Linked DNA regions of Mus musculus: all the other regions are reported to be linked to region 1. Evidence: microRNA targets listed by miRTarBase, many of them from high-throughput screens and not tested one by one. Region 1 holds a microRNA gene; each other region holds the end of a gene's coding sequence.
The links. Region 1 holds the annotated microRNA mmu-miR-466e-5p (GAUGUGUGUGUACAUGUACAUA, at 4,569-4,590, opposite strand). A microRNA usually pairs through its seed, bases 2 to 8, with sites in the 3' UTR of a target mRNA and lowers its output. Matches are read on the target gene's strand: a 7mer-m8 pairs with bases 2 to 8, a 7mer-A1 pairs with bases 2 to 7 and ends in A, and an 8mer does both.

Region 1 (7,126 bases):
ACACGGGCACATACATAGGGGCCATCACATTATTCCAGGATGATCTCTAACTGCTCATGAAGTTAAGCATGAAATTGAACTCCTGATCCTCCTGACACTGCCAATTATTTACACCTGGTGAGTGAGACCTTCACTGTCCCTCTACTTTATAATCAGCAAAATTCTAAGACATATATCATTCAAATGGATCAATGAGTGTCATTCTTATGTGTGTGAGTGTGCACGCCTGTGTGTGTGAATACATTTGTATGTGTGTGTATTTATATGTATGATCATATACACACATGTACGTGCACACACAATTATATGCACTTGTGCATACCTAGGATCCATCACACAAATACAGGGTGATCTCTAACTCATTATGAAGTTAAGCATGAATTTGAACTCCTGAGACTCCTAACTCTGGCAAGTGGTTTTCATCTGATAAGTGAGATTATTCCCTATACCATGAATATACACTCAATGAAATTATAAGCACGTATAAATCAAATGGATGACTGCCATGTGTGTTTGTGTGCACATGTATGTGTCCCTAGTTGTGTGGGTGTGTATACATATATATATATATATATATATATGCATGTTCATATACGCGCATGTACAGGCATACTTCCCTATACACATAAACACAAACACAGGGAAAATCACATGAATTCCGGGCTGATCTCTAACTCATCATAAAGTTAAACATGAATTTGAACTACTCATCCTCATGATGCTGGCAAGAGTATTCACCTCCTAACTGTGTCATAGCTCAGGCCATTCGAGGGAGTATGTTTGCATGTGAGTATATGCATATTCATATACAGAAGTGAATATGTACACAACTATACACACATGCACATTCTGGTGGGCATCACATGAATCGCATACTGAACTCTAACTCATCATGAAGTTAAACATAAATTTGAATTCCTCATCCTCCTGACACTGGCAAGAGTACTCACCTCCTAACTGAGACATAGCTCTGGCCATTCCTATGAATGTGTGTGCATGTGTGTATATGCATATTCATATAGAGAAGTGAATATGCACACAACTATACACACATGCAAATTTTTGGTGGGCATAAGATGAATCCCATGCTGGTCATGAACTCATCATGAAATTCAGCACAAATTTGAACTCCTGATCAACCTGACTCTGTGAAGGGACTTCACCTGCTGAGTGAGACCTCTCCCCATTCAGTACTGAGGAATCTTAAAACTCTAAGTCACACGTCATTCAAATGGATCGATGAGTTGCACTGATGTTTGTGTGTGTGTTTCTGTTTGTGTCTGTGTACATGTATATATTTGTGTAGATAGGTACATCCATATACTCAAATCCACACACAATAGAAACAGATACAGATAGAGATACATAGGGGGCATCACATGAATCCCAGGCATATCTTAAAGTCATCATGAAGTAAAGCATGAATTTGAACTCCTGATCCACAATCTGTCACACCTGGTGAGTAAAACCATTCACTGTCCCAAACTGCATAATCTAAAACTTTAAGTCACATATCATTCAAACGTATAAATGAATGCAATTTTTTTCTCTGTGTCTGTACTTGCATATACACGTGTGTTTATATTTTGAATATCATGTCAACAGAGGCAATGCATATACAAGTAAACACACATGCACATACATGGGTGGCCTCATATGAATACCAGGATGACCTCTAACTGAATTAAGCATGAATTTGCAATCCTTATCCTCCTGACTTTGTCAATCTTTTACACCTGGTGGGTGAGGTCATTCAATGTCCCCTATTGCATAATCTCTAAAACTCTACATCACTTATCATTCTAAGGGATTGGCGAATGCCATTCCTGTGTCTGTGTATGTGTGCTTGCGTTTATACGTGTGTGTGTATGTTATGTATATTCAAATATAGACATGAACATGCACACACAACTATACACACATGCACATACATGGAGGAATCACAGGCTGATCTCTCATGAGGATAAGTGTAAATTTGAACTCCTGATACTCTTAACTCTAGCAAGCATTTTCACTCTAAGTCACTTATCACTCAAATGGATTGATGAGTGCCATTCCCCTGTGTCTGTGTGCTCATATGTGTCTTATGTGTGCGTGTATGTATATGTATATCATATTCACATATGTACATGCACACACACATCAACACATATACACATACATAGGGGCAATCACATGAATGCCAGGATGACCTCTAACTCATCATGCCTTTACCATGAACTTGCACTCCTGATCTTCCTGACTCTATCAAGGGTTTTCCCGTGGTTTGTGAGACCTCACCCTGGCCCAGTCATACATAACCTCCAAAGCAGTAGGTCACATATCATTCAAATGGATCCGTGAGGGACATTCCCGCATGTCTGTGTGCATGTGTGTGTTGGTGTGTGTATGTATATGCATAAAATATACACGCATATACATGCAGGCACTTACGCACACGGGCACATACAAAGGGGCCATCACATTATTCCAGGATGATCTCTAACTGCTCATGAAGTTAAGCATGAAATTGAACTCCTGATCCTCCTGACACTGCCAATTGTTTACACCTGGTGAGTGAGACCTTCACTATCCCTCTACTTTATAATCAGCAAAATTCTAAGACATATATCATTCAAATGGATCAATGAGTGTCATTCTTATGTGTGTGAGTGTGCATGCCTGTGTGTGTGAATACATTTTATATGTGTGTGTATTTATATGTATGATCATATACACACATGTACGTGCACACACAATTATATGCACTTTTGCATACCTAGGATCCATCACACAAATACAGGGTGATCTCTAACTCATTATGAAGTTAAGCATGAATTTGAACTCCTGAGACTCCTAACTCTGGCAAGTGGTTTTCATTTGATAAGTGAGATTTTTCCCTATACCATGAATATACACTCAATGAAACTCAAAGCACGCATAAATCAAATGGATGACTGCCATGTGTGTTTGTGTGCACATGTATGTGTCCCTAGTTGTGTGTGTGTGTGTGTATACATATATACATATATATACATATATATATATGCATGTTCATATACGCGCATGTACAGGCATACTTCCCTATACACATAAACACAAACACAGGGAAAATCACATGAATTCCGGGCTGATCTCTAACTCATCATAAAGTTAAACATGAATTTGAACTACTCATCCTCATGATGCTGGCAAGAGTATTCACCTCCTAACTGAGTCATAGCTCGGGCCATTCGTGGGAATATGTTTGCATGTGAGTATATGCATATTCATATACAGAAGTGAATATATACACAACTATACACACATGCACATTCTTGGTGGGCATCACATGAATCGCATACTGAACTCTAACTCATCATGAAGTTAAACATAAATTTGAATTCCTCATCCTCCTGACACTGGCAAGAGTACTCACCTCCTAACTGAGACATAGCTCTGGCCATTCCTATGAATGTGTGTGCATGTGTGTATATGCATATTCATATAGAGAAGTGAATATGCACACAACTATACACACATGCAAATTTTTGATGGGCATAAGATGAATCCCATGCTGGTCATGAACTCATCATGAAATTCAGCACAAATTTGAACTCCTGATCCACCTGACTCTGTCAAGGGATTTCACCTGCTGAGTGAGACCTCTCCCCATTCAGTACTGAGGAATCTTAAAACTCTAAGTCACACGTCATTCAAATGGATCGATGAGTTGCACTGATGTTTGTGTGTGTGTTTCTGTTTGTGTCTGTGTACATGTATATATTTGTGTAGATAGGTACATCCATATACTCAAATCCACACACAATAGAAACAGATACAGATAGGGATACATAGGGGCATCACATGAATCCCAGGCATATCTTAAAGTCATCATGAAGTAAAGCATGAATTTGAACTCCTGATCCACAATCTTTCACACCTGGTGAGTAAAACCATTCACTGTCCCAAACTGCATAATCTAAAACTTTAAGTCACATATCATTCAAACGTATAAATGAATGCAATTTTTTTCTCTGTGTCTGTACTTGCATATACACGTGTGTTTATATTTTGTATATCATGTCAACAGAGGCAATGCATATACAAGTAAACACACATGCACATACATGGGTGGCCTCACATGAATACCAGGATGATCTCTAACTGAATTAAGCATGAATTTGCAATCCTTATCCTCCTGACTTTGTCAATCTTTTACACCTGGTGGGTGAGACCATTCAATGTCCCCTATTGCATAATCGCTAAAACTCTACATCACTTATCATTCAAAGGGATTGGCGAATGCCATTCCTGTGTCTGTGTATGTGTGCTTGCGTTTATACGTGTGTGTGTATGTTATGTATATTCAAATATAGACATGAACATGCACACACAACTATACACACATGCACATACATGGAGGAATCACAGGCTGATCTCTCATGAGGATAAGTATGAATTTGAACTCCTGATACCCTTAACTCTAGCAAGCATTTTCACTCTAAGTCACTTATCACTCAAATGGATTGATGAGTGCCATTCCCATGTGTCTGTGTGCTCATATGTGTCTTATGTGTGCGTGTATGTATATGTATATCATATTCACATATGTACATGTACACACACATCAACACATACACACATACATAGGGGCAATCACATGAATGCCAGGATGACCTCTAACACATCATGCCTTTACCATGAACTTGCACTCCTGATCTTCCCGACTCTACCAAGGGTTTCCCGTGGTTTGTGAGACCTCACCCTGGCCCAGTCATACATAACCTCCAAAGCAGTAGGTCACATATCATTCAAATGGATCCGTGAGTGCCATTCCCGCATGTCTGTGTGCATGTGTGTGTAGGTGTGTGTATGTATATGCATAAAATATACACGCATATACATGCAGGCACTTACGCACACAGGCACATACATAGGGGCCATCACATTATTCCAGGATGATCTCTAACTGCTCATGAAGTTAAGCATAAAATTGAACTCCTGATCTTCCTGACACTGCCAATTGTTTACACCTGGTGAGAGAGAATATTCACTGTCCCTCTACTTTATAATCAGCAAAATTCTAAGACATATATCATTCAAATGGATCAATGAGTGTCATTCTTATGTGTGTGAGTGTGCATGCCTGTATGTGTGAATACATTTGTATGTGTGTGTATTTACAGGGATGATCATATATACACATGTACGTGCACACACAATTATATGCAAATGTACATAACTAGGGTCGATCCCACAAATCCAGGGTGATCTCTAACTCATCATGAAGTTAAGCATGAATTTGACCTCCTGAGACTCCTAACTCTGGCAAACAGTTTTCATTTGATAAGTGAGATTTTTCCCTATACCATGAATATAAACTCAATGAAACTCTAAGCACGTATAAATCAAATGGATGACTGCCATGTGTGTTTGTGTGCACATGTATGTGTCCCTAGTTGTGTGTGTGTGTATATATATATATATGTATGTATATATATATATATATATATATATATATGCATGTTCATATACGTGCATGTACAGGCATACTTCCCTATACACATAAACACAAACACAGGGAAAATCTCATGAATTCCGGGCTGATCTCTAACTCATCAAAAAGTTAAACATGAATTTGAACTGCTCATCCTCATGATGCTGGCAAGAGTATTCACCTCCTAACTGAGTCATAGCTCGGGCCATTCGTGGGAGTATGTTTGCATGTGAGTATATGCATATTCATATACAAAAGTGAATATGTACACAACTATACACACATGCACATTCTTGGTGGACATCACATGAATCGCATGCTGAACTCTAACTCATCATGAAGTTAAACATGATTTTGAACTCCTCATCCTCCTGACACTGGCAAGAGTGCTCACCTCCTAACTGAGACATAGCTCTGGCCATTCCTATGAATGTGTGTGCATGTGTGTATATGCATATTCATATAGAGAAGTGAATATGCACACAACTATACACACATGCACATTTTTGGTGGGCATAAGATGAATCCCATGCTGGTCATGAACTCATCATGAAATTCAGCACGAATTTGAACTCCTGATCCAACTGACTCTGTCAAGGGATTTCACCTGCTGAGTGAGACCTCTCCCCATTCAGTACTGAGGAATCTTAAAACTCTAAGTCACACGTCATTCAAATGGATCGATGAGTTGCACTGATGTTTGTGTGTGTGTTTCTGTTTGTGTCTGTGTACATGTATATATTTGTGTAGATAGGTACATCCATATACTCAAATCCACACACAATAGAAACAGATACAGATAGGGATACATAGGGGGCATCACATGAATCCCAGGCATATCTCTAAGTCATCATGTAGTAAAGCATGCATTTGAACTCCTGATCCACAATCTTTCACACCTGGTGAGTAAAACCATTCACTGTCCCACTACTGCATAATCTTGAAAACTTTAAGTCACATATCATTCAAACGTATAAATGAATGCAATTTTTCCTGTGTGTGTGTGCTTGCAGATACACGTGTGTTTATGTTATGTATATCATGTCAACACATACAATGCACATACAAGTAAGCACACATGCACATAAATGGGTTGCATGACATTAATACCAAGATGTCTCCAAATGAAGTTAAGCATGAATTTGCAATCCTTATCCTCCTGACTTTGTCAATCTTTTACACCTGGTGAGTGAGGCCATTCAATGCCCCCTATTGCATAATCTCTAAAACTCTACATCACTTATCATTCAAAGGGATTGGCGAATGCCATTCCTGTGTCTGTGTATGTGTGCTTGCGTTTATACGTGTGTGTGTATGTTATGTATATTCAAATATAGACATGAACATGCACACACAACTATACACACATGCACATACATGGAGGAATCACAAGCTGATCTCTCATGAGGATAAGTATGAATTTGAACTCCTGATACTCTTAACTCTAGCAAGCATTTTCACTCTAAGTCACTTATCACTCAAATGGATTGATGAGTGCCATTCCCATGTGTCTGTGTGCTCATATGTGTCTTATGTGTGCGTGTATGTATATGTATATCATATTCACATATGTACATGTACACACACATCAACACATACACACATACATAGGGGCAATCACATGAATGCCAGGATGACCTCTAACTCATCATGCCTTTACCACGAACT
Region 2 (7,126 bases), not on the chromosome of region 1:
CCATATGACTGCTAGAGTCCCCCAAGTAGTTCAATAACCTTGAGGCAGGGTGTGCTGATCCAGGCTTGAGCGATAGAGATAATTTGTGCAAGGAGGTGGGGTCTACATCTTTCAAGCAGTAGCTCCTAAGTGGAGAAAGTCTGTGGTTGTGTCCAAGTCCTAGGACTAACCCCTCTTTCAAATTGGCTGAGCTCTGTAGTTGTTCCTTGTTTCCGTGAACAATTGAAGAACAAAGGGTCAGAGAGAAGCCAGGAAGCTAACTGGAATGGCTGCCCCTTCCCATGAACAAAACATCACAAATGTGTAGAGATAATGTAAAGATAATGCCTTGTGTACTCTATAAAACTATTCACCTGTCAATAAAAAAATGCTGTTGGCCTATTAGCTTAGGCAGGAAATAGGAGGTGGGAATTCCAGTAAGAACAAAGGATTCTGGGATAGAGAGGAGCACAGAGGATTGTCCCCAGGACCCTTAAGGAGGACAGACTCATGAAAGCTGAGCAGAGGTAACTAGCCACATGGGAGAACTCAGAATAAACAAAATATTAAATTGCGAGCTAGTTGGAGAATACGCAAAGCTTTGGCCTAGGCATTTGTAAATAAATATAAGTCTTGGAGTTGTTATTCTGGGAGCTTGGAGCTGGGAGGGAAAACACGAGCTAACAGAAAACATCCCAGTGCAGAAATAGAGTCGTGTGTACCACTGAAGAGAGAGCTGAGTGCATCCTACATGTGTGAAGTATGTTGAAATTGCTAAAGGTGTCATTAAGTACAAGATAAAACCACCCAAAGAAACAGAAGAAAGGGAAATGAGGTACATGCTGCGAGCTTCTAACAGCTGAGCAACTATTTGTTTCAAAGGTATTTGTTGGGCTGCCCATGTAAGAGGAGAGCATTTAAAATAATGAGAAAACAGGAGTGTGTAGCATGCATAGTGCATCATGGGACTTCTCCGTGTGACACAGAAAGTGACAGCACAGTAATCTGACTTGCCAGGCAGTGGTGGCGCACGCCTTTAATCCCAGCACTTGGGAGGCAGAGGCAGGTGGATTTCTGAGTTCGAGGCCAGCCTGGTCTACAGAGTGAGTTGCAGGACAGCCAGGGCTATACAGAGAAACCCTGTCTCGAAAACAACAACAACAACAAAACAAAAACCTCTGACTGAAGGGTGTGGGCTTTATTATACAAGGAGGACATAGCAACTCTTGAGTCAAGAGGGTCATCAGATTGAGCTTCCAAAGAGGTCACTGTGGATTAGCAGCACAATCGTCAGTCATTAAGTGATTCACAGACCGGAACCGCCATCTTCCTGGAGAAACGGAGACTTCAAATCCAGGGCTCTGTGCCAGTGCTGCCTAATCAGAAAGCAGGTGTACAGCCCAGCCTGCCCAGGTGATGCCGACACAGGCCAGGCCAGACTGTGACGTGGCCACTGTGGGGCATCCAGGGGACAAAAGGGGAGCAGAGGAAAACAGAAGAGGATCCTAGAGCTCCCTGTGCAGAAGTGGACGGGAACACTGTGAGGAAACACCCTCAACAGACACTCAGCGCCCTTTGAGGTGAGTCCGCCTAAACAAAGAGGAAAGTAAAATGGGAATTTTTAAAATGAGAAAAAGGAGTGCTCATGAAACAGGAATGAAGGATAAAATTGGTACTTCTCAAAGTATCCTTCGGCTTGATGAAATTAAATCGCAAAGATCTCATCTCACTTTCAGGGTGAAAAAGGTCACGTGAATTCCCCTCTCTAGAAAATTGGAACTTTCCTCACCCTGTGATTGGGCAGGGAGCAAATAGGTCCTTCAATCCAATGAATGACCCGAAGTGGCCAAAGAAAAGGGAAGTTCTTGCCAAACAGGAGATTTGGCAGCTGTTTGTAGGAAACTTTTTCCAAATTAGGCAATTGAGTATAACCATGGTCATCTTTTGTACCTAAACCTTTTATCGGCTTGATTGACCACTGAATTTTACAGCAAGAAAATTATAGCTTTGAGATGAAAACTTTAACTTTAAAACTTCAAATGGCATCTTTATTTTCAAGAAGATGAAAATGTTTAGATTTTGTGTTTCTAACGCTAATCTGAAGTCCTGCTACTACCAGCAATTATTCACACTAATTTTTAATTTTTCTCAACTAAAATTTGAAGTTGATACAGAAAAGTTTGCCCTGTTTTGTACTTTTATGTTGTTTATGTTGTGTCAAATCTTTTGCATGCTAGGCAAGGGTTCCTCCCCTGGACTATAGATCCTTTAGTCTACCTGTTTTGTGCCCTTTGTATTAGTGAGTTTCACATTACTACAATGAAATACCCAAGTCAATTAAATGTTTAAAAGGGCAAGGTTGGTTGAGCTCATAGTTCTCAAAGTTCAAGGCATAGCTGAAGCGGCCGTGTGCTTCAGCCTCTGACGAAAATGACTCATCATAGCTGGGACGGGGAGAGAAGCAAGTGGTCAGAGCTTTAACACATCAGAAACAGAAGTAAGGATGATGGCATACACACAACAATCACTTCTGAGGGCATCAATGCTTATGATCTAAAGACATGCACTGGACCCTGCTCCCCACAGCCTCGGCCGTCTCCCAGGAATTCGACCCTGTGAACCAAGCTTTCATTCACAGCTGTTTGAGGTACAGTCAGCCAGCATGCAAACCCGGCATTTCTGCCTTCACATACAATGTTATTTAAAATATAAAATGGTCCTCGATGACAAAGTTGTACAAGTCCGTTTGCTTTCATATTTTATGACGTATACACAGTATTTACTTCAAGAGAGTCCCTTACGGAGTAAATAGGCAGGAAATGCCTTTGATAATGCTCATTATATCCAATCAGATTCTTACTCCAAGAACAGATAACTGCAATGATTTTTATGGAAATTTTAATCAGCAAATTGAAAAAAAAATAAGTTTGTAACCATATTTTACATAGAAATATTCAACTTTCCCAATATTTTCACAAACAGTGGTACAAAAGTTGACTCTAAATGCATCCAATGCGTTTTTAAGAGCTAAACGGACATGCACTAGGTTGCCCCCGTTCTCAGTGATGCTGGGAAGGAAGCCTAGGATCTTGCACAAGCTCAGTAAGAGTTTTACCGCTGAACCGCAGCCCTTTACCTTGGTTGCCTCCTTATCAACAATCTTCATGGGAAGATTCAGAGGGAATCAGTTCACAGAGTTCTTCAGTGTTTCTCAAGCTCAGCCCTACCCAATGTGTCTACATCATATGTTCAGCTTATTTCATGAAACAAACCACATGACGTGTGCTTTCCATAAGTAAGATGAAGTTCAGAGATCTTAGTAGTCATGTATTTCATAACATCCTAATGTGGGGCCATATTAGAAACCACGTAAAGGAGCTGAGCTGGCCAAAGACTGGTCTAAATAATTACCCACGACTTGTGAAAATGTGTTCACATTTCAGACTCCTCTGAAAGTGTGTGGTCATTATCCAGAGTGCTAATGGTACTTTCCTGAACCTAATTCCATACATGGCACCAGCAATCTCATTGGGGACACTTAAATGTCTCCACATGTCACCAGAGAAACACAATGACCCATGCTGGTAACTACTGGTCTCAAGAGAAAAAAAGAGAGCATGCAAACAATCCACTTACTGATAACATGACTCTGTGATGTTTTACACCTGACCTATAAAGTTTTCACCTCTCTGTAGGATGAATAGGACTGAATCATGTCTTTCTTTAAGGTTTATAGTCTTTCCTGTTGATTCTCAAATGTATTTTTACTCCTGTGGCACATATTTTTTAGGGAAGGGTTTTGTTTTTGTTTTTGTTTTGTTTTGTTTTTTTTACTTCATGATAGTAAAGATTCTTCTTAGTTCAAAAAAAACCTAGCAAATAATATTTGCCTCAAATCACTTGAGTTAATGAAATCCTGGTCTGTCAAAACTCAGGTCTTTCACACTACTTTTTTGAGGTGGGCAGCCTCATTCTTATATCAGCATTAAATGAAATTAAGGGCAAAGTCAAAGGCATACTTGTCAGCAGCAAGACACTGACAGACAACCTGTACAATTGTTTTCTTCCATTAAGGTTTTTGTGTTTTAATAAAACTAAGAAAAGATTATTTACTTTACATTGTAATATGCTGACATATCCCTCATATTTATATTAGTCCCATGTTTTAAAAGTTAAAAATAAATACTTTTTAAGTAATAGCAACATCTTTTGACTTTAAGAATTCTATCTGGCATTCCTGTGCATTTGTAAAAATAAGACAGTGGTATTTCCAAATCTCACAAGGATATACTTTGTCTTACAGGAAGTTGACAAACTCGTTTGGAATACCACTTCTCATGAAGAACACGTTGAGTAACCTTTGTGCAGTCAGATCAAAGAAAAAGTTAATCAAATAACCTGATTCTCATTGCCAAAACTGAAGCATCATGTGTATGTGTGTGTGTGTGTATGTATATGTATATTTTTTTTCAGAATCATCTAATAAATAACTATACTTCAAATCATAGTTATATAAGATTACATATATAAAATTACATAACCATGCTCATTAGAGTACTGCAAGATAATCACAAAACTTGATTTTTGTTTACAAATATAGTAATCAATAAATAGATCTATATACATAAGAAATACATGAATACATAGTTGATTCAAATGGCATATAAATCTCTTTGTTTCAGATAAATGCTAATATTTTTGATATTTTAGTTTTTATTATCAGTTAAGAGCCTTTAAAAGTAAATAGTATAGCCTTCAAATATAATAGACCAAAAATATGTATAAAATTATGAATTATTTTTAAAATATCAGTATTTCTTTTCTTAAAATATTGAAAACTTTTTAAAAATTTAAGCAATATCTAATGTGGGTATCATAGAAAAATAAGTTATTGATGAAACTCTGTAACACAAGTTTTAGCTATGAATGTAGCCAAATAAATGGCTAAGAACTTTGAAATTACTGCTTGAAATCTTAGAAAATAGAAAAAAAGCATGCATTTAATAACCTGAAACATGTGAAAAAATAAAGAAGTATTTCCCTATGAAGTTCTTTAACTATATGAATTAGTAATTCAACTTAACAGCATTAAAAGCAATTGTGCGACTCCATGGGACTTCACCGTTTTCAAATATTTAATGTTCTTGGGTTACCCAATACACAAGAAGCATGTGTTAGCACAGGATGGGATCTGGGGACTGAAGGAAAGAGGTGACATAGTTTATATTGGATGTCTCAAGACATATCTAAACCCAGGGCAAAAAGCAAGAAGCTGGAACAGTTAAGTCCAGGTAACATGCTCTACAAAAGCAAGGTTATTAGAACAGAAGTTGGGAATAAAGATTAAAAATTATAGTCGATAGTTGATAGTCTACAGTCAATGGTCTATAATCTATAGTCAATAGTCTATGAAAAGCACTGTACTTGGCAATTGTCAGGAATCTCAGCAGAGGAAAAACAGGCACAAGAATGCATTAAAGATGAACTTGATCGTTGGGTACCTAGTGTATCCTAGGCAGGATGCTGCTATTTACCCATTCAGAGGCAGACTCAGAGGCAAGGTTATAGCATGGGCTGATCCAGAAGTAAAGTCCACAGAAGTGCTCTACTCCTCCTCCTGTCCCTGCTGCCTAGAAACAGGATATTCAGGGGGAGGAAAGAAATCTCTTTCCAAGATTTATTATTCTAGTAAAGTTCCCAGAATATACATATACTAGCACCAAAGGCATGTAAAATGTTTTCAGTAATGCCCAAACGTAAGAATATGCCTTTGATTATCAAGAACCATGTGTGTATGTCTGTATTTGCCTTTCACACATGTATGTAGTTATAAACATCCACAACCAGAGCTCGTGTTGAAACTCCTAACTCCAGGATAGCATCAATCAACCAGTGTATAAAGTGAGCCAAATCGGGATTTGGCTTTAATAAAATATATCTTCCAAAAACAATCATGATAGGAAAAAACTGATCTGATCCAACTATCCTAAAACATGTTTAAAGAAAAGCAAAACAAAAACAAAACAGACATTATACAATGTCATCTAGCCCTGGAGATGCTTCACAAGCGAGTCCCATTGATCTTGCCACTGTGATCTGTGAAGTTCAGCTCAACATGGTTGAAGGCAGGGTTATCAGTTCCACCAACTTCCACAGGATGCAATTTATAGTTTAAAACATGATTCCTCTGAAAGATAAAGGGTAACATGGAAATTTTTTTTAAAAATCATTATTTGTTCAATGACAGATAACTGATACCAACTTTTTATTTCTCTAAATCAGCTTGGTAATCCACTAAGGGAGAGTGAAATGCAAACATACACAAGGCAGCAGAAGCTAGCGTGGTATACGATATGCATTTGAGCTATGAATAGCCATGTGTGTGAAGAAGTTATGAACTATCTATCGACAGCCATATATTCTCTTAAATAGTTCATATCTATTAACTGTATACCTGCATCTACAGGTACACATATACACATACAGATACAGACATAGAAATATCCCTTCTGTGTGCCTGTCCAAGAAAAGAGCTGGGGACTAACTATTGCTCTGTTCAGGTAATTAAAAACCCAGTTTCCTAATTTAAGAATAAATAAAACCTAACTTACTTTCTTAAAAACATCAAAATTGGATAAAAAGTCCTGTTTGGTTAGTAAGAATCGGGGATCTAAGTTCTGTTTTCTTCCTCCTGAAAAACAAATCCATTATTTACAGAGTTAGACAGATACCTTATAATTACATATTAACCCACCCCCACACCCATCACACAGGCATCTGGCTTATGAACATTCAGCTTTATGCACACATAAAATACAAAGAAAACCTTGAAAGTAGTCCTGAAGATCCAGCTGCCACTCCCCTCTCCTCCATCTTGGACCCCACAGCTTCTAACTGATAAATGTAAATATTGTGATATCTACATAGATAAATAGATAATAGAGAGATAATAGATACAGAGAGATAATAGCTCCCAATCCTAATCTGATTGCTTCATCTGGTGCTACCTGGATAAAGACTTGTCTGTCCCAAAAATGATTAAAAAAATAAAAAATGAGAAGCAGCCCACACAACCTACCTATAAAGTGGCAAACTGTCACCTCTGCCTCTGCCTCTCTGCCTCTCTGCCTCTCTGCCTCTCTGCCTC
Region 3 (7,126 bases), not on the chromosome of region 1:
TAACTTTTGTTTTCAGGTATGTTTAGGGATGCTTCATCAGTCTTCCATGTGTATGTTTCAAAGGGTTTGGTGTTAAATGCTGGCTCTTCCTCACATCTGCCCCTTCCTTTGACCACAATGCATTGCTGCTCTCCAGATTAAAGCTGGGTCTTGCGAGCTTTTCATAGCAAGCCCAGCTAATCCAGATGATGGTTGGATAACGACTTTCCATGCATTTGTTTGCAATATGCAATGTTGCAGTTGAGGTATCTCTCTTGTACACTACCTTCTGATACTGTTTTTCCATCCAATTTTATTAACCCCTGCCATTTTCATTCCAATGCTTTGTTCCTTTACATGTAATTTGTTTTCAAGTTTAAATTTCCGTTTCGTTAGCTGTCTCATTCAAGAAACTTGTTCTATTTTTCCTTGATTTGATATCAAGGGTTTTTTTTCACCTAAAAATTATTTTTTCTTAAAACTCTTGTTATGGTGGCAAATGAAAACTAATTAAAAAAATAAAAGGATTCAGAGGTCTGTTGTCTTCACCTGTTACGTTCTTGTACGATAGCTTAGAAACTTCTGAACCTGTTTTAGATACAGAAACTGATACCATGACTAAGGGATGGTAGATATGATCATGCTTCACTATAGAAAACATTTTAATACCTATATTTATTCCATGACACAGTGCAGTATATATGCAAACTAAAAATCACTCTAAAAATAAATTAAGTCAAGAAATCATTCCATTGTATTTTTCTCAATGTCTAATAACTCCCTAGAAAATTATCCATTTCATTTGTACATACAAATTTAGTTGTACCAAAGAACATAGATTTCTGATTAAATGATATACGGAAACATCTGTACTTGTTCAGTCCCCACCCCTGGCCTGCCCCATGATGAGGCCAGATCCTCAGCCTCACAATTTTTTCTAGAATACTCAGACGCCATTGGGTGCTCACATGTACATAGTTCTTCATTTTCAGCCTCAGCCTGTGGATTCTTCACTTCCTCTGAACATCTTTAAACCTTGAGCACTACCTTTCTGGTTTTTTTCTCCAATTCTCCAGTCTTTAGCAGGATGGCTGTTTGAGTCACACAGTTTACCATTAGGAGAATAAACTTCTCCTTGTCTTTTCACATATTAAAGCAAAAGCAGAGGAAGCAGTAAGGCAAGGCACAAGGACAGCACCTTTGTCACACGAAGTTTGAATGAAAAAAAAAACATCATTTGATTTCTTCAGCATAATCAGGAGTCCTGTTTGATCTGGGCCTATAAAAAGAATGTCCTCTGCAGCTTAGATTGCAGTGTTCTCTCAATGACACGTAAGTCACACCACACCTGAGTTGACATCCCCAGGTTTATTTGGGGATGGGGGGCGTGGTGGAAGGGGTGGTTTTAGTCTAACCAATTAGCGAGGAGTGCTAAACTCTTCAAGTATGTTTATGGATAATTTCTGGATTTGTTTCGGAGCTAATTATCCACAGTCTTTATGAAAGTGAGGTTAAGCATGGTGGCCATGAAACATACACTAACTAGAGGACTGGCCATGAGGCTGTCACACTGGAAGGGGTGGACAAGGACCTAAGCTATTCTTTAATTCCTTTTTTACAAGATGGAAGCATAACTGGGTGGGATCTTGCCTTGAGGTCACGGCTCCATTTATCATTTAATGTCTTTAATCTGTTTATCTCCTTGAACATGAAATTTAGCTCAATTCTGCTTCCTGGTGCCCCTTTTCTCCTTGATCTCTACATTTTGTATTTTTCCTTGCTCAGCGTGCTTCTTCTCAGCAGTACACGCTTCATAAGGGTAAACATTAGTAACCACAAAATGGAGTCTAAACTAGGCTGTTTTGAGATTTCCTTTACCAATGCAATTAATTCAAAATTCCTCACTTTGGCCTCAGGCAGAATTTTTGGACAATGGCAAAATGCAGGCAAATTCTTTGCCAAACTATCACAAGAATAGTCTCTAGGCCATTAATAGTCTTCTCTAAAACCTCCTGGGTCAGGCGCTCTACAGTTCAAATCACTGTCAGCACCACTTTCTTCCATGTTCCTATTAGATGGCCCATTAAACACCACTTAATGTGTGCAAATGCTTTTCTAACCCAAAATCCAAGGACCCACATTCTTCCAAACAAAAGCATGCTCAGGCCTTTCACAGCAATATCACAGTTCCTGGTACCAACTTTTGTCTTAGGGTTTCTATTGCTATGACCACATTGCATTATGACCACAGCAACTTTTATAAAGAAAAACATTTAATTGGGACTGGCTTGAGGTCTAGTCTATTATTGCCATGGCAAGAAACAAGGCAGTATGCAGATAGACACAGCCCTGGAGAAGGAGTTGAGAGTTCCTACATCTTGATCCGCAAGCAGCAGGAGACTGTGTGTCACACTGGGCAAAGCCTGAGCTTATGAGACCTCAAAGCTGTCCCCAACTGTGGCATACGTCCTCTAACAAGGTAACATCTTCTAATAGTCCCACTCCCTATGGGCCCACAGGTAGGCAGAAGGCCTGAGTAGCAGTCCAGTGTGTGCCTGCCAAACAGTTCTACCTCTGGGACGTGAGTGAGAGCAGTTCCACGTTGACACTGATAATCACTACACTCACAAACGTTAGAATACAAACCATCATCTTGTATGACAGCACCGCAGGACCCAAATGGATCTTTGGACTTTCACATAGTCTCTCAAGCAATGCCTGGGGTATGTGCTGGGAGAAGGACAGTATAGCGATACACAACACTAGGTAAAGAAAGTGGCAAAGCGTCATCTAAGCTCTAGAAGTGGAGGGCCTAGGAAATTATTCTGGCTCCGTGAAACTCAACAGCAAGAGCTAAACTGCAGGTAGATGTGTGTCATCTATTCATATGAATGTTCCCAATTTTTAAAGACCTCTCTTTCAGAGTAAAGAACAAATAGTTTTCTTAGTTCCTACCAGTGTTTGGTTAATTTAAAAATACTGACTGACTGAATGCTCTCCTAGAGAGAATGTAGTTGAATCCATAGGCTTTTGGTAAGTCACTAAAGGTCTATAGTTCTGCAAAAGACAAAGTTTAAATACTCTAACCACACCCACTGTTCAGTAATCAGTTTATAGTCTCTTCCCTTTTACTCTAAGCCATTAATCTTAGTTCAAGAGGTTGTGCAAATTTACTCTGGGTTTCTTGCCAATGATGCCTTCATACTATATGTATTTTATATATTGTTTTAAAAATTGGTTGTTATATACCTTTAATCCTGGTTTTAAAAAAGATCTGTAATGAATGTCTGTAAAGGTCTTTATAGAACCACTCAAGTCATGAACATTCAGTTTTCACAGTATGTACATTTTGTAAGTTGACAAATTAAGAAGGCTGATATATTTGTTTGGGTAGACTTTATTTACATACATTTTAATCATAAGCAAAGTCATTATCTACAAGTTGAAACAATGTACTCCCTTTAACTTAAGGCACTGCAAACTTCCTTATAGCACACTCACTATATTTACATGCTGTTTGAGAACTGACAATAAATACATACTCTACACCTAATCTTTGTCCTTCTTTTGTAATGTTATAAATTAAAAATGAAATGAGCCACTCTTCACAAAAAGAATTAAAGCCAACAAGCCTTAAAGCTTCCCAGGTGGGCAGAGAGGGATACATCCAAGACCAGTGCAAAGGCAGAGCCTTTAATATCCCAAGGCTTTACCTGTGGGTTCTTAAAGGAAACCTTCTGGGCAGCACTGCCAGCACGCCTTTGCCATACCCTACTGCTTTTACAGAAGAGCACACATGATAGGTGGCTAACAGGAACACACCTGGACCTCTACTAGAGAGTCAAGGTACTAAATTCTGAGCTGACTAGTGCAATTACCAACAAGTACACAGACAAACACGTTCCCATTATCTTTGGGTACTATCACCAAGAGCTAAATATTTTGGAAGCCAAATATTTTCTCCTGAACAGAAAGCAGAGCAGGTTTAGCTAACACAAACACTAAATCTCCATGTCAAAGCCTATCTTTACTAAGAAGGTTTTCTCAGAGCAAAACTACAGCCAGGGGCTTTAGTTTTTGTTTTTCAAGGATACAAACGAACTAGCAGAAAGTTCAATATGATAATATACTTGATTAAACAAATACTATTCTTGTCTCCTGAATAAGCACTTTATAACATTTTAACTAGTTTTAGTATTCTGAGAACAGAATAAAATACAAAATAAATCCATGTGCTGCAAGGACTAAGACACTGGCAGAGCATCCCTTCCCATCCCAGCCTTTATAAAAGTCTGTTCTACACATGGACACCAAGTGTAAGGTGCAGCCAGGGGAAGGAGACCGCACTGGGATTGTGCTGGGATCCGCAGCACTGTGGGAGCTAAACTGTCTTCAACTCTGCTGGAGACAAGTCCTAAGTGCCCACCTACTTCTTCTCAAAGCGAATATTGCAGTTTGTTACTTTCTTAAATGGAAATTGAAATAAGCAGAGATTTCTCTATTGTTTTACTTGATCAACCCTTCAACCTTTAGTATCTCTACTGCATGTAACAAAATAAATCAGAACACTTATGAACAAAATCATTCCTATCCTGTTCTTAAAACATCCATTCTGTGACCAAGAGCATAGATTATGTACGCAGTACAGAAATGCCTCTCAAAACCCAAATACAATGAGGCTCCAGACATCAAACTTTAAGGAAATTCACAGTGAGCCAGTTCAGCGCAATAAATCTAAGATGACTGACAAGTGTCGAGAGTCATCACGGATCATCGGTGTCTACCTGCACTGCATACTTTAGACCCATCTTGCGTCTCAAGAGCAATAATCAAGTTTGCTTTACGTTGTCAGAATGCGGGAGATCACCCCAGTACCAGGAAGCAGTGGTCTGTTGTCCAATGGACATCATGTAGGCTGTTTTGATAGCTCTGGCTCTGAGGACCCAGCTGTGGAGGGAGTGAATGATGACAGTGCTTCCCAACAACTCTCTGGTTCTCGGAGTTATGATGAGTCAGGCGAGCAAGCGAGCAGTAGCAGGGCTGGAGCTGCTCTGCCCTTAGCACGCAGCTGCTGCCAGGGCAGAAGACACTCAACTCCATTTTACATGGCTGACCACTCGACTGCACAGAAGGCACATTCAAGAGCCACAAAGGTCAAGTTCAAAACCCTGACCTTGCAGCTTTATACTCTCGTCATATTTTTTTTCCTACAGCATTGAACACTTCCAATAAACATGAGAATTGAAAATTATAACAAAAATATGGTATTTTTAATAGTGATATTAAGTTATGAGTTGGTAAAAGTATGCGCATAAAGTCTGCAAGAAGTAGCCTTTCCTTGAGCCGAACCTTCCTCGACAGCTGTGTTCTGGCACATGTCCCTTTCACATGTCACATGACCTCTGCACATTCACTCATACAAACACACTGGCACACACAACTTGCTCAGAGACGTTAAACACAAACAGAGAAGAATTTTTCTCTATGCTCTTTGAAACTTCTTATAAACAATAGTATCCAAAAATGTAACTAAAACAAACAGATGAACAAACAAAACCCCAAGGTATTGCTATGTAACCAAGCTGGACTCCATCTCAAGGCCTCTGCCTCATCTTTCCTACTTGTGTGCACCACTGTGCCCAGCCCCAGACTCAGCTTCTGAGGTGTCAACAGCTGACGGGTCTTACTAAGCTCGGGCTCTACATCACATAGTCTTCCTTGGGTTTTGATTGTTTTTAGCAGCTTTATTTAAAACAGTTTCTTTGTATGCTACAGTTATGCCCTGTGGCTAATCGGTTTTATTAACTATCACAGAATTTCCTATCTCAAGGGTTTTCTTGGGACACACACTAACTAAAGACAAATATAAAAATATATGCAACTTTTTCTCTAGGGTACACAAAATGCACAAATTACATAAATAGTTTTGTGTCATTTACAAATATATAAACTTGTTAGAAAAGCATGCCTATTAAATTCTGGTATATTTTCACTTAAAGATATATTTCATTGAAAGTAAAGAAAGAAGAAAGGAAGAATAATGGAAAGAAGGAAGGAAGGAAAGAAAGAAGGAAGGAAGGAAAGAAGGAAGAAGGACTCAAGTTTTGTTTTGTTTTTTTGTTTTGTTTTGTTTTTTCTCAAAGGCTAGTCTTGCTAGGGACATTAGTGGTTTGAACTGATTTACCAGCAATTAAATACCATCAGGGTTATTTGCATCAGGCAACACACCAAAACAGGGCACACACACACACACACACACACACACACACACACCCCAGAGTAATTTTGCCATGTGTGTCTTGTCTTTTGAAATATACCTTTTTTATGGCTGTAACACCACTCCTTGCATGGATCCTTAGTTTTGAAATTAATAAGACATGGTGAATTAATCAATTAAAGGGTCATCGTCATCTTCCTGCAGCTGAAGACGGGAGAATGGACGGGATGTGGATGCTCTGCTCCGCATGAATATCATGAGGCCTGTTAGCATGGTTAATACCAATAGTGCACTAACAACAATTCCAATGGCTTCTGGGAGATTAATGCACCACTGGTCCACCAACAAGCACTTGGTATGACTGAGGGTTCCATTATTGGGATGTGGTTTTAGTCCCAGGATGTGGCACATCATTGGATAAATATCCACAGTGTTGATGGTGCTCTGCCTGTAACCTTTTCTAAAGGCAGGTCCGTGGGCAGCAAGAAACGGGTGCATACTAGGCAGGGAATTATCATAGCCATGGTCACCTACTGGAAGAAAAGACAAAATTACGTTATTAAACATCAGTGTTTTACTACAGAATATCTTGTTCACTATAACTACACCAGCTTCTTGTCTCCATCCATTAAGGTTCTGGCTGGCTGCACTAAACAGAAGCCAGACGTGAAAATCTGTTTCCTTCAGCTTAAGGCAGCCTGCATTTCACACGCACACACCTCTTTTCCCAGGGACCACAGCTTTAGACTTCAACACTTCTCAACCTGAGGTACTTATGTTTCAGCTCTAAGCCCCTTATTTCACCTACTCATCCCCAGTGCTAGTTGCAAGAGCTGAGGGTCCTGTACAACTGGGAGAGAAGAAAGAACACTGAATGGGGGATGGGATTCCAGACTTAACTCTCTCAGTTGTTCTAATAAGCAACACCAT
Region 4 (7,126 bases), not on the chromosome of region 1:
AGTCTCAAAACAACCAACAAGTAATGGAAACGGGTCCGTTGTATGAGGCATGTGGTGTGGAGGGTGGGACTAGTCTTCCTTCATGTTCACAGTAGATACTTTGGACTTGGCCACAGGCTCTGGTCAATCCCCACGAGAGGCTAATTGATCCATGTCCCACACAGGTACATGGCCACCTCTGGTCTGGACCACCAGCTGAAGATCTTTGACTTGCGAGGGACATTCCAGCCCCTGAGTTCCCGGACCTTGCCCCAGGGAGCAGGGCACTTGGCCTTTTCCCAGCGGGGACTGTTAGTTGCGGGAATGGGTGATGTGGTCAACATATGGGCAGGGCAGGGCAAGGCCAGCCCACCCTCCCTGGAGCAGCCCTACCTCACCCACCGGCTCTCAGGCCACGTGCATGGGCTCCAGTTCTGCCCCTTTGAAGACGTGTTGGGGGTGGGGCACAGTGGAGGCTTCACCAGCATGCTGGTCCCTGGTGAGTGGCCCAGCGTCATTACAAGTGTGAGAGGCCGTGGGCCGGTCAGTCCAGAGTTGCAGGACGAGGTTCAGCTCCATGCTCTTCCCTCTCTGCCTCCCTCCCTCAGGGGCTGCGGAGCCTAACTTTGATGGTTTGGAGAATAACCCATACCGGAGCCGGAAGCAGCGCCAGGAATGGGAGGTGAAGGCCCTGCTGGAGAAGGTGAGCTGTGCTGGAGCCCGGCCCTCCCTGGCTCCCATCCCTTTCTGGTGTCACCTCCCCGTGGCTCCTTACACATCGCTGTCCTGTGACCCTCGCAGGTACCTGCAGAGCTCATTTGTTTGAACCCCCGAGCCCTGGCAGAGGTGGATGTGGTCACTCTGGAGCAGCAGAAGAAGGAGCGGATAGAGAGACTGGTATGGAGCCACCTGCTATGTGCGCAGCCCGAGTGTCCAGCCCTCGCCTCTATACCCCACCCCATCCTGAAGTGCAGCGCAGGATATAGGTGCTGCCAGGGCACTGGGCCTGCTGTTGACCTCCTTCATGTCCCATGCCAGGGCTATGATCCAGACGCCAAGGCTGCCTTTCAGCCCAAGGCCAAGCAGAAGGGCCGAAGCTCTACGGCGAGCCTAGTGAAGAGGAAGAAGAAGGTCATGGACCAGGAGCACAGGGTATGTGAGCTCGGGCGGGTGTTGGCATGCACGCCTGCAGCCTTATCAGCCTATGCTCAGTGCCTTACGCTCCTTTCCCACCTTGTTCCAGGACAAAGTCCGGCAGAGCCTTGAGCAGCAGCAGCAGAAGAAAAAGCAGGATATGGCCATGCCTCCTGGAGCCCGTCCCTCTGCACTGGATAGATTTGTACGACGAGCCAGAGAAGGCGGTCTCCAAGTTGACCCTTAGGGGCCAGAGTGCTCAGTGGGCAAAGGCACTTGATGCCAAACTTGAGTTCAGTTCCCAGAAAACACGTTTGGCAGGAGAAAACACACAAGTGTCTTTTTACCTTTCCATGCCCACATGGGGCAGCGCGCACACACACACACACACACACACACACACACACACACACATATATAAAGGGAACACAAAGATCCATAGGGAAATTGTCCCATGTGCCTTACATCTTAACTGGGTAGGAGCAGACAGCTCCTTGGGTGTGTGGGCATTAAACAAGGTTTCTGGAGACGTGTCTGGACCATCCTGTAGGTCTGCTCTTCCCTGTGTGGCTATTCTAGACTCAGCTCACTGCCCTGCCTGTCTCCCCACCACTGCCCAAGCCTTCACCCTAGAGGGGGGCGTTATCCCCATTGTGGTTGTCGCAAAGACCAACATGCAGCAGTACTGAAAGCTCTGGGCTCTCCAGGTGTGCTGGGGGCCTGGTGAAGACGCTGCACTTGAGGTAGAGAGACATGTTTATTGGACCCTTGTCCCTGCTTGTGAGTCCCCTTCCCGCCCTTGGCTTTATCCCTCCCCGGAGCTGGCAGGCCAGGGCCCAAGTTTATCTTGGTAAACTTGGTTGGTTGCAGCTTCAGAGTTTGCTGTGAGAAAATGGAGGAACTAGATCACCACAGGGATCTGCAGCCTCTGCACCAACTTTGGGGAAAGGTCTCTGAGGTGCTGTTTTCTGTGGGTTCTCAGCTACTGAACCAGGCTATGAACCGGCACCTCAAGGTACCCAGAAATCCCTGGAGCCAGGAGCAAAAGGGTGCAGTCCTCTCCCCATTCATGCCGCTCACCAGCTTCCAAGCTTCCTGCATTTGCCAGGGATCCACCTTGTGGGATGTCAGCAGGAACTTCCCGTAACAGCACCGATCCAAGGGGTAGTGGGTAGCACCAGCCAATTTGACACAGTGTGTGGGGGCAAGGCCCCCTCGCCTTGCACTTACTCCCACAAAGACATCCTCTAGAGGTAGAGGTGGGGCCCGGCTGGCCACCTTCAGGATGAGCTGCACAGCAGAGATGGACAGTACATATCCTGTGCCCGAGGCATAGGGTGGAAAAGGACCCCAGTTTTCCGGCCACAGTTCTTCTGACACATGGTGCCGGGACTCTGGTGTCCGAGTGGGTCTCACCCTCCAGTGCACCCTGCCTAAATACAGAAGGGGCACTGCCTGGCCTCTGTGCTCTTCATGGATAGCTGTTGTCTCTTCCTGGGCCTCTTTGCCCTTCTGCCATTGCTCCGAAGGCCCCCCTCTTTGTATCAGCTCTGACACCAGCTCTGGGACGTTGACATACACGTCATCATCCGTCTTGAGGATGTAGCGGGCCATAGGACAGTATTTGTTCACCCAGTTCAGTCCACTGAGGGTCTTGAGGGTGAGGTTGCGGTAGGAATCCTGGAAGGAGGCCTGCAAGATATCCCTGTGTGCTGCTGACTCTGAGGACAGGTCAGCAAGCTGCTGTCTTCTAGGTTTTCCCAGGAGGAAGAGCGTCTGCACTCTGAAACCCCGGGCTTCGCGGATGGCACCCCAAGATGCCCGAATGGCGTTTCTCTGGTTCAGGTGCTCCGGGGCCGTACACACCAGGATGAGCAGGAAGGGAGGGGGTCCGGAGCCACCACAGGCATGAGAGTTAGAAATCAAGAGGCGGGGCAGGGCGAGGGGCGGTCCTGGCGAGGCTGGGGCCGGCAGCAGGGATGCCAGGGACAGGCTCAGCAGCTCCTCCCCCAAGCCTGAAGGTCCAAACAGGGTCCAGATGATCACCAGTAGTAGGACCGCCAGGAGGACGCGCCGGAAGAGGCTGAGGGGCATGGCGTGCCGCAGAGACCTGTGGGCACAGCTGTTAGAGCGTGGGGAGGTGGGAGGACGGCTTTAACCAGCTGCTGCTGAGGAGACGCGGTGACCCATGCGCGGGGCTCTGGCGCATCACAGATGCTGTTCTCCAGATGCTGTCGTGCAATGCGGCCCTGGCCCACCACAGCTGGCCCCGGAAGGCTTCGTTTCCCTAGCTAGCGTGCACGCGGAACTCCGCTCCATCCCGCCCCTCCCCGCACCTTCCCATCATGCCTCTCTAGGCCGGAAGCCGACAAGCGGCGTGCATTTCACATAGGTCCAGCCCTTCCCGGTCCGTCCCTACTGTAAAGCACGCGGAATACCAGGCTGCTTTTCTAGAGCAGCCAGCATCTGCTGTTAACTCACCCGAGCAGCAGCATCTGGCGGAGCTGTAGCCACTTCACAACAGCTTAGCACGGCTACGGCAGGAGACTCAATTGAAGCCTGCCCAAGCTTCCCCTGGAGGTTTTCAACACCGGCTGCCCCACCTTTAACAGTGGTTGCCGCCCAGTTTGCTGCACCTAAGGCAGTCTCCTTGTGAACACCCAACAGAAAGGGAGGAGCAAACACCAGCAGGAGCCTATGAGGGACATTTCCGTTCAAGTGCACCAAGAGCACTGTACCCAGAAGGCACCTGCAGCCAGATTAAACTACCAGAGCTCAGGATCGCTGTGGCATTAAGTACTATCAGATGGAAGACAAACTGAGACGGAGGTCATAGGTATATAAACTATTTATTAACAGCAAAGGCCCAGAGACTCATTTCTTCTTGGATACACCCACAGTTCGGCCCCTGCGGCCAGTGGTCTTGGTGTGCTGACCGCGGACACGAAGGCTGCAGAAGAAAAAGATACAGGTCACAGAGCAGCAGGAGGCGAGCCGGTGGACTGTGCAGCCTGATTGGGAGTGGGCAGCTTAAGCCTCATCACCCACTTACCCCCAAAAGTGGCGCAGCCCTCTATGGGCTCGAATTTTCTTCAGCCTCTCCAGGTCCTCACGCAGCTTGTTGTCTAGACCGTTGGCCAGAACCTAGATTTTGAGACAGGGGAGACAACTTTATCTCCTGATTCTGCACCCAGTTTTAACGGACAACCCGTGTCCACCAGTCCCCTAACACACCTGGCTGTACTTCCCATCCTTCACATCCTTCTGTCTGTTCAGGAACCAGTCTGGGATCTTGTACTGTCGTGGGTTCTGCATGATGGTGATCACTCGCTCCACCTCATCCTCCGTGAGTTCTCCAGCCCTCTTGGTGAGGTCGATGTCTGCTTTCCTCAACACCACATGAGCATATCTCCGCCCCACGCCCTGAGGTCAAAAGTTTGGGCTATTAGACTTTTGTTTTTAAAGATCTGAGTACAGAGTTTTCAGAGATACCAGAGGGTATCAGAATCCATTACAGATGGTTGTGAGCCACCATGTGGTCACTGGGAGCCTCTGGAAGAAGTCATAGCTTTTAACAGCTGGATTCTCTCTCTAGCCCAGTCTATTTGTGTCTTATGTTTGCCTGCATTGTATGTCTGTGTGTCTGTGGCACACTGACCAGAGGCCAGAAGGCGCTGATGTTCTGGAACTGGAGTTAATGGTTGTTGAGTGTTGGGTCATTGAACCTGGATCCTCTGGAAGAGCAGCTAATGCTCTAACAGCCAAGCCACCTCTCCAGCCCCCTCACACACACCCTATTACTCAAAAGCAGAGGGGCTGTGCAGATGTTATCCCAGCTCCCTGAACTCGGGACTGCTATGGCCAGCCTAAGTTAGAGATCCTGTCATTTTTCAGATCACTTTCCAGAGACAAAGCCTGCCTACTAACTGAAGGGAACGCTGTTCGGGCCACACTGGACATGTGTCACAAACTCAACAAAAGCAGCACAGATGAACAAAGTCAAACCTTTAACAGGTTTTTTGAGCCCCAAGAGTGGGTGTGACTTTGTGACTACCAGAATTAGCGGGGAGGGGGAAGTGTCATTGAATGAGCTAGAGAAATGGCTCAGTGCACTGGCTGCTCTTCCAGGACCTGGACTATATACCAAGCACTCATTCATAACTCGAACTCCCAATGAGAGAGGATCTAAGTCACTCTTTTGGCCTCCAGAGGCACAGTATGCACAGACATGCAGGCCAAAAACCTTCACAACCCTCACCTCAGCCTCCATATAATTTTTTACTTTTCTTGAGCCTGTTTTACTGTCAAGCTGTGAGTTCTAAAGGTGCATGATGCCAGGTTGGTTATGGTGACAAGGCAAGGGACCTATGCTCAGCTACAAAGTGTGGCCCCACGCCCACCTTGCCTTCTGACTTAAGCACTAACTTAAATTATAAAGAACCGACTCCTAACACTTAAAGCAGTTTGGAGGGACTGGGATTCAGACAGTACTAGACTGCCTCACAGATAAGGGCAGCAAGCACTTCTGGTCCAGCACATGCCTATATGCTTCCAAATATTCAAATTCTCACCTTGAGTGAGCAGAAGACACTTCTTAATTAATACAGAAATCTGCCCGGCGTGGTGGTGCACGCCTTTAATCCCAGCGCTTGGGAGGCAGAGGCAGGCGGATTTCTGAGTTCAAGGCCAGCCTGGTCTACAGAGTGAGTTCCAGGACAGCCAGGGCTATACAGAGAAACCCTGTCTCCAAAAACCAAAAGAGGGAAAAAAAAAATTAAAGAATACAGAAACCTTCCCTGTCCTTCACCCTTTGTTGGTCAGCTTGCAATCACCTCTGGAGGAACTCACCCCGAAATCTCTCTCCTCAAACTCCCAATACCCACCACCCACCTCCCAATCAGCTTCACCCTTTTGTTTTCCAGGCAGGTTTTTTTTTGTTTTTTCTTGTGTAGCCCTGGAACTTATTGATCGGGCTGGCTTCAAGCCCAGAGATTTGTTTGCCTCTGCCTCAGGGAGTGCTGGCATTAAAGATGTGTTCTTCACCCTCTCACACAGGACCAACAGAACCCTCAGTACCCAGGCTCTACAAACACTGTGCACAGCCCCTTCAAGAGCCTCCATTCACCTTGTCTGCATTCGAAGTCAGCTGTAATCATCTCCCAGCAGGTCACACGGGGCACAGGCATTGCCCCAGGCCCTTCAACCCCCTAGACACTGCTCTGCCCACCACACCAGGCACCTCCTGCTGTGCTATCATTGTTTGCCAAAGTGCAGAATTAAAAAAAGTCAACATGGCAAGGACTTAAAAGTGAGACTTCACAAGGTTAAAAAAATTTACTCCAACTTTTATGTCCACCTGACATTACCTCGGCTCCCCAGGCCTCCTTCAAACCTCTCAGCAGCCACCCAGTTCCATCTATACCCTAGCATCCCACAAGGTCCCACCACTGACAGGTCTCATGGCTGAACACACCTGACCAGCAACTCCTCAAATCACCAACTTCAAGTCCTGTCCCTGTCTACAAGACTTTTAGCTCTGCAGAGAAACATCCCAGCTTCCTCCTACGACCTCCCTTTTTGCCATAATGGGGAAAACTGCCAGCTTCTGTGTCACCTTCCACTGTGGCATCTGCCAATAGCTTCTGCAGACCACCCCCAACCATCACCGCTAAGCCTGGACACCTCTTAGGATGTTAGTTTACAGGAATTCTACTCAAGGTTTGCTGACAGCAGAGACTGCTCTCGGAAGCTGAAGATCTCGGGAAACCTCTGCAAGGTGGGACATGACTACACTCACACCCCACTACCCCTGGAGCAATGTTTTGGTTTAACCCTGGGTCATCATCAGGCTTTTATTGAAACGGGTTGGGTGAGTTTAGCTGCTTCTCTTTTGCCCCTAACACTTTTACCTTAATGGCAGTGATGGCGAAGGCTATTTTCCGCCGCCCATCGATGTTGGTGTTGAGTACTCGCAAAATGTGCTGGAACTTCTCAGGGATCACTAGAGACTGAA

Region 2: the mRNA of Slc5a8 is a reported target of mmu-miR-466e-5p. Seed matches in the 3' UTR shown: 7mer-m8 at 5,766-5,772 and 8mer at 4,412-4,419.
Region 3: the mRNA of Enpp4 is a reported target of mmu-miR-466e-5p. Seed matches in the 3' UTR shown: 7mer-m8 at 6,270-6,276.
Region 4: the mRNA of Wdr46 is a reported target of mmu-miR-466e-5p. Seed matches in the 3' UTR shown: 8mer at 1,522-1,529.

What each region holds. Positions count from the first base shown.
Region 1 is chr2:10,476,563-10,483,688 of GRCm38, reverse strand. It overlaps Mir466e (microRNA 466e), which reads right to left and starts at 4,601; the gene lies at 4,518-4,601. The region is part of intron 10 of Sfmbt2 (Scm-like with four mbt domains 2); the gene reads right to left. Mir466b-8 (microRNA 466b-8) reads right to left here and starts at 7,061; the gene lies at 6,976-7,061. It overlaps Mir669a-1 (microRNA 669a-1), which reads right to left and starts at 6,836; the gene lies at 6,740-6,836. It also overlaps Mir669g, Mir669j, Mir467a-2, Mir669a-4, Mir467b and Mir466c-1, and 2 more genes.
Region 2 is chr10:88,925,250-88,932,375 of GRCm38, reverse strand. It overlaps Slc5a8 (solute carrier family 5 (iodide transporter), member 8), which reads right to left. Exons shown (of 15, transcript NM_145423.2): 14 at 6,591-6,670; 15 at 2,861-6,166. The coding sequence ends at 6,041. Among named protein-coding and RNA genes, the nearest start is that of Slc5a8, 43 kb to the right of the region's middle.
Region 3 is chr17:44,092,949-44,100,074 of GRCm38, forward strand. It overlaps Enpp4 (ectonucleotide pyrophosphatase/phosphodiesterase 4), which reads right to left. Exons shown (of 4, transcript NM_199016.2): 4 at 3,361-6,729. The coding sequence ends at 6,365. Among named protein-coding and RNA genes, the nearest start is that of Gm34917, 9.3 kb to the right of the region's middle.
Region 4 is chr17:33,948,056-33,955,181 of GRCm38, forward strand. It overlaps Wdr46 (WD repeat domain 46), which reads left to right. Exons shown (of 15, transcript NM_020603.2): 11 at 165-478; 12 at 588-682; 13 at 781-876; 14 at 1,018-1,131; 15 at 1,223-1,640. The coding sequence ends at 1,360. It overlaps B3galt4 (UDP-Gal:betaGlcNAc beta 1,3-galactosyltransferase, polypeptide 4), which reads right to left and starts at 3,433. Exons shown (of 1, transcript NM_019420.2): 1 at 1,857-3,433. The coding sequence starts at 3,207. The coding sequence ends at 2,092. It overlaps Rps18 (ribosomal protein S18), which reads right to left. Exons shown (of 5, transcript NM_011296.3): 2 at 7,023-7,121; 3 at 4,348-4,536; 4 at 4,166-4,257; 5 at 3,943-4,063. The coding sequence ends at 3,988.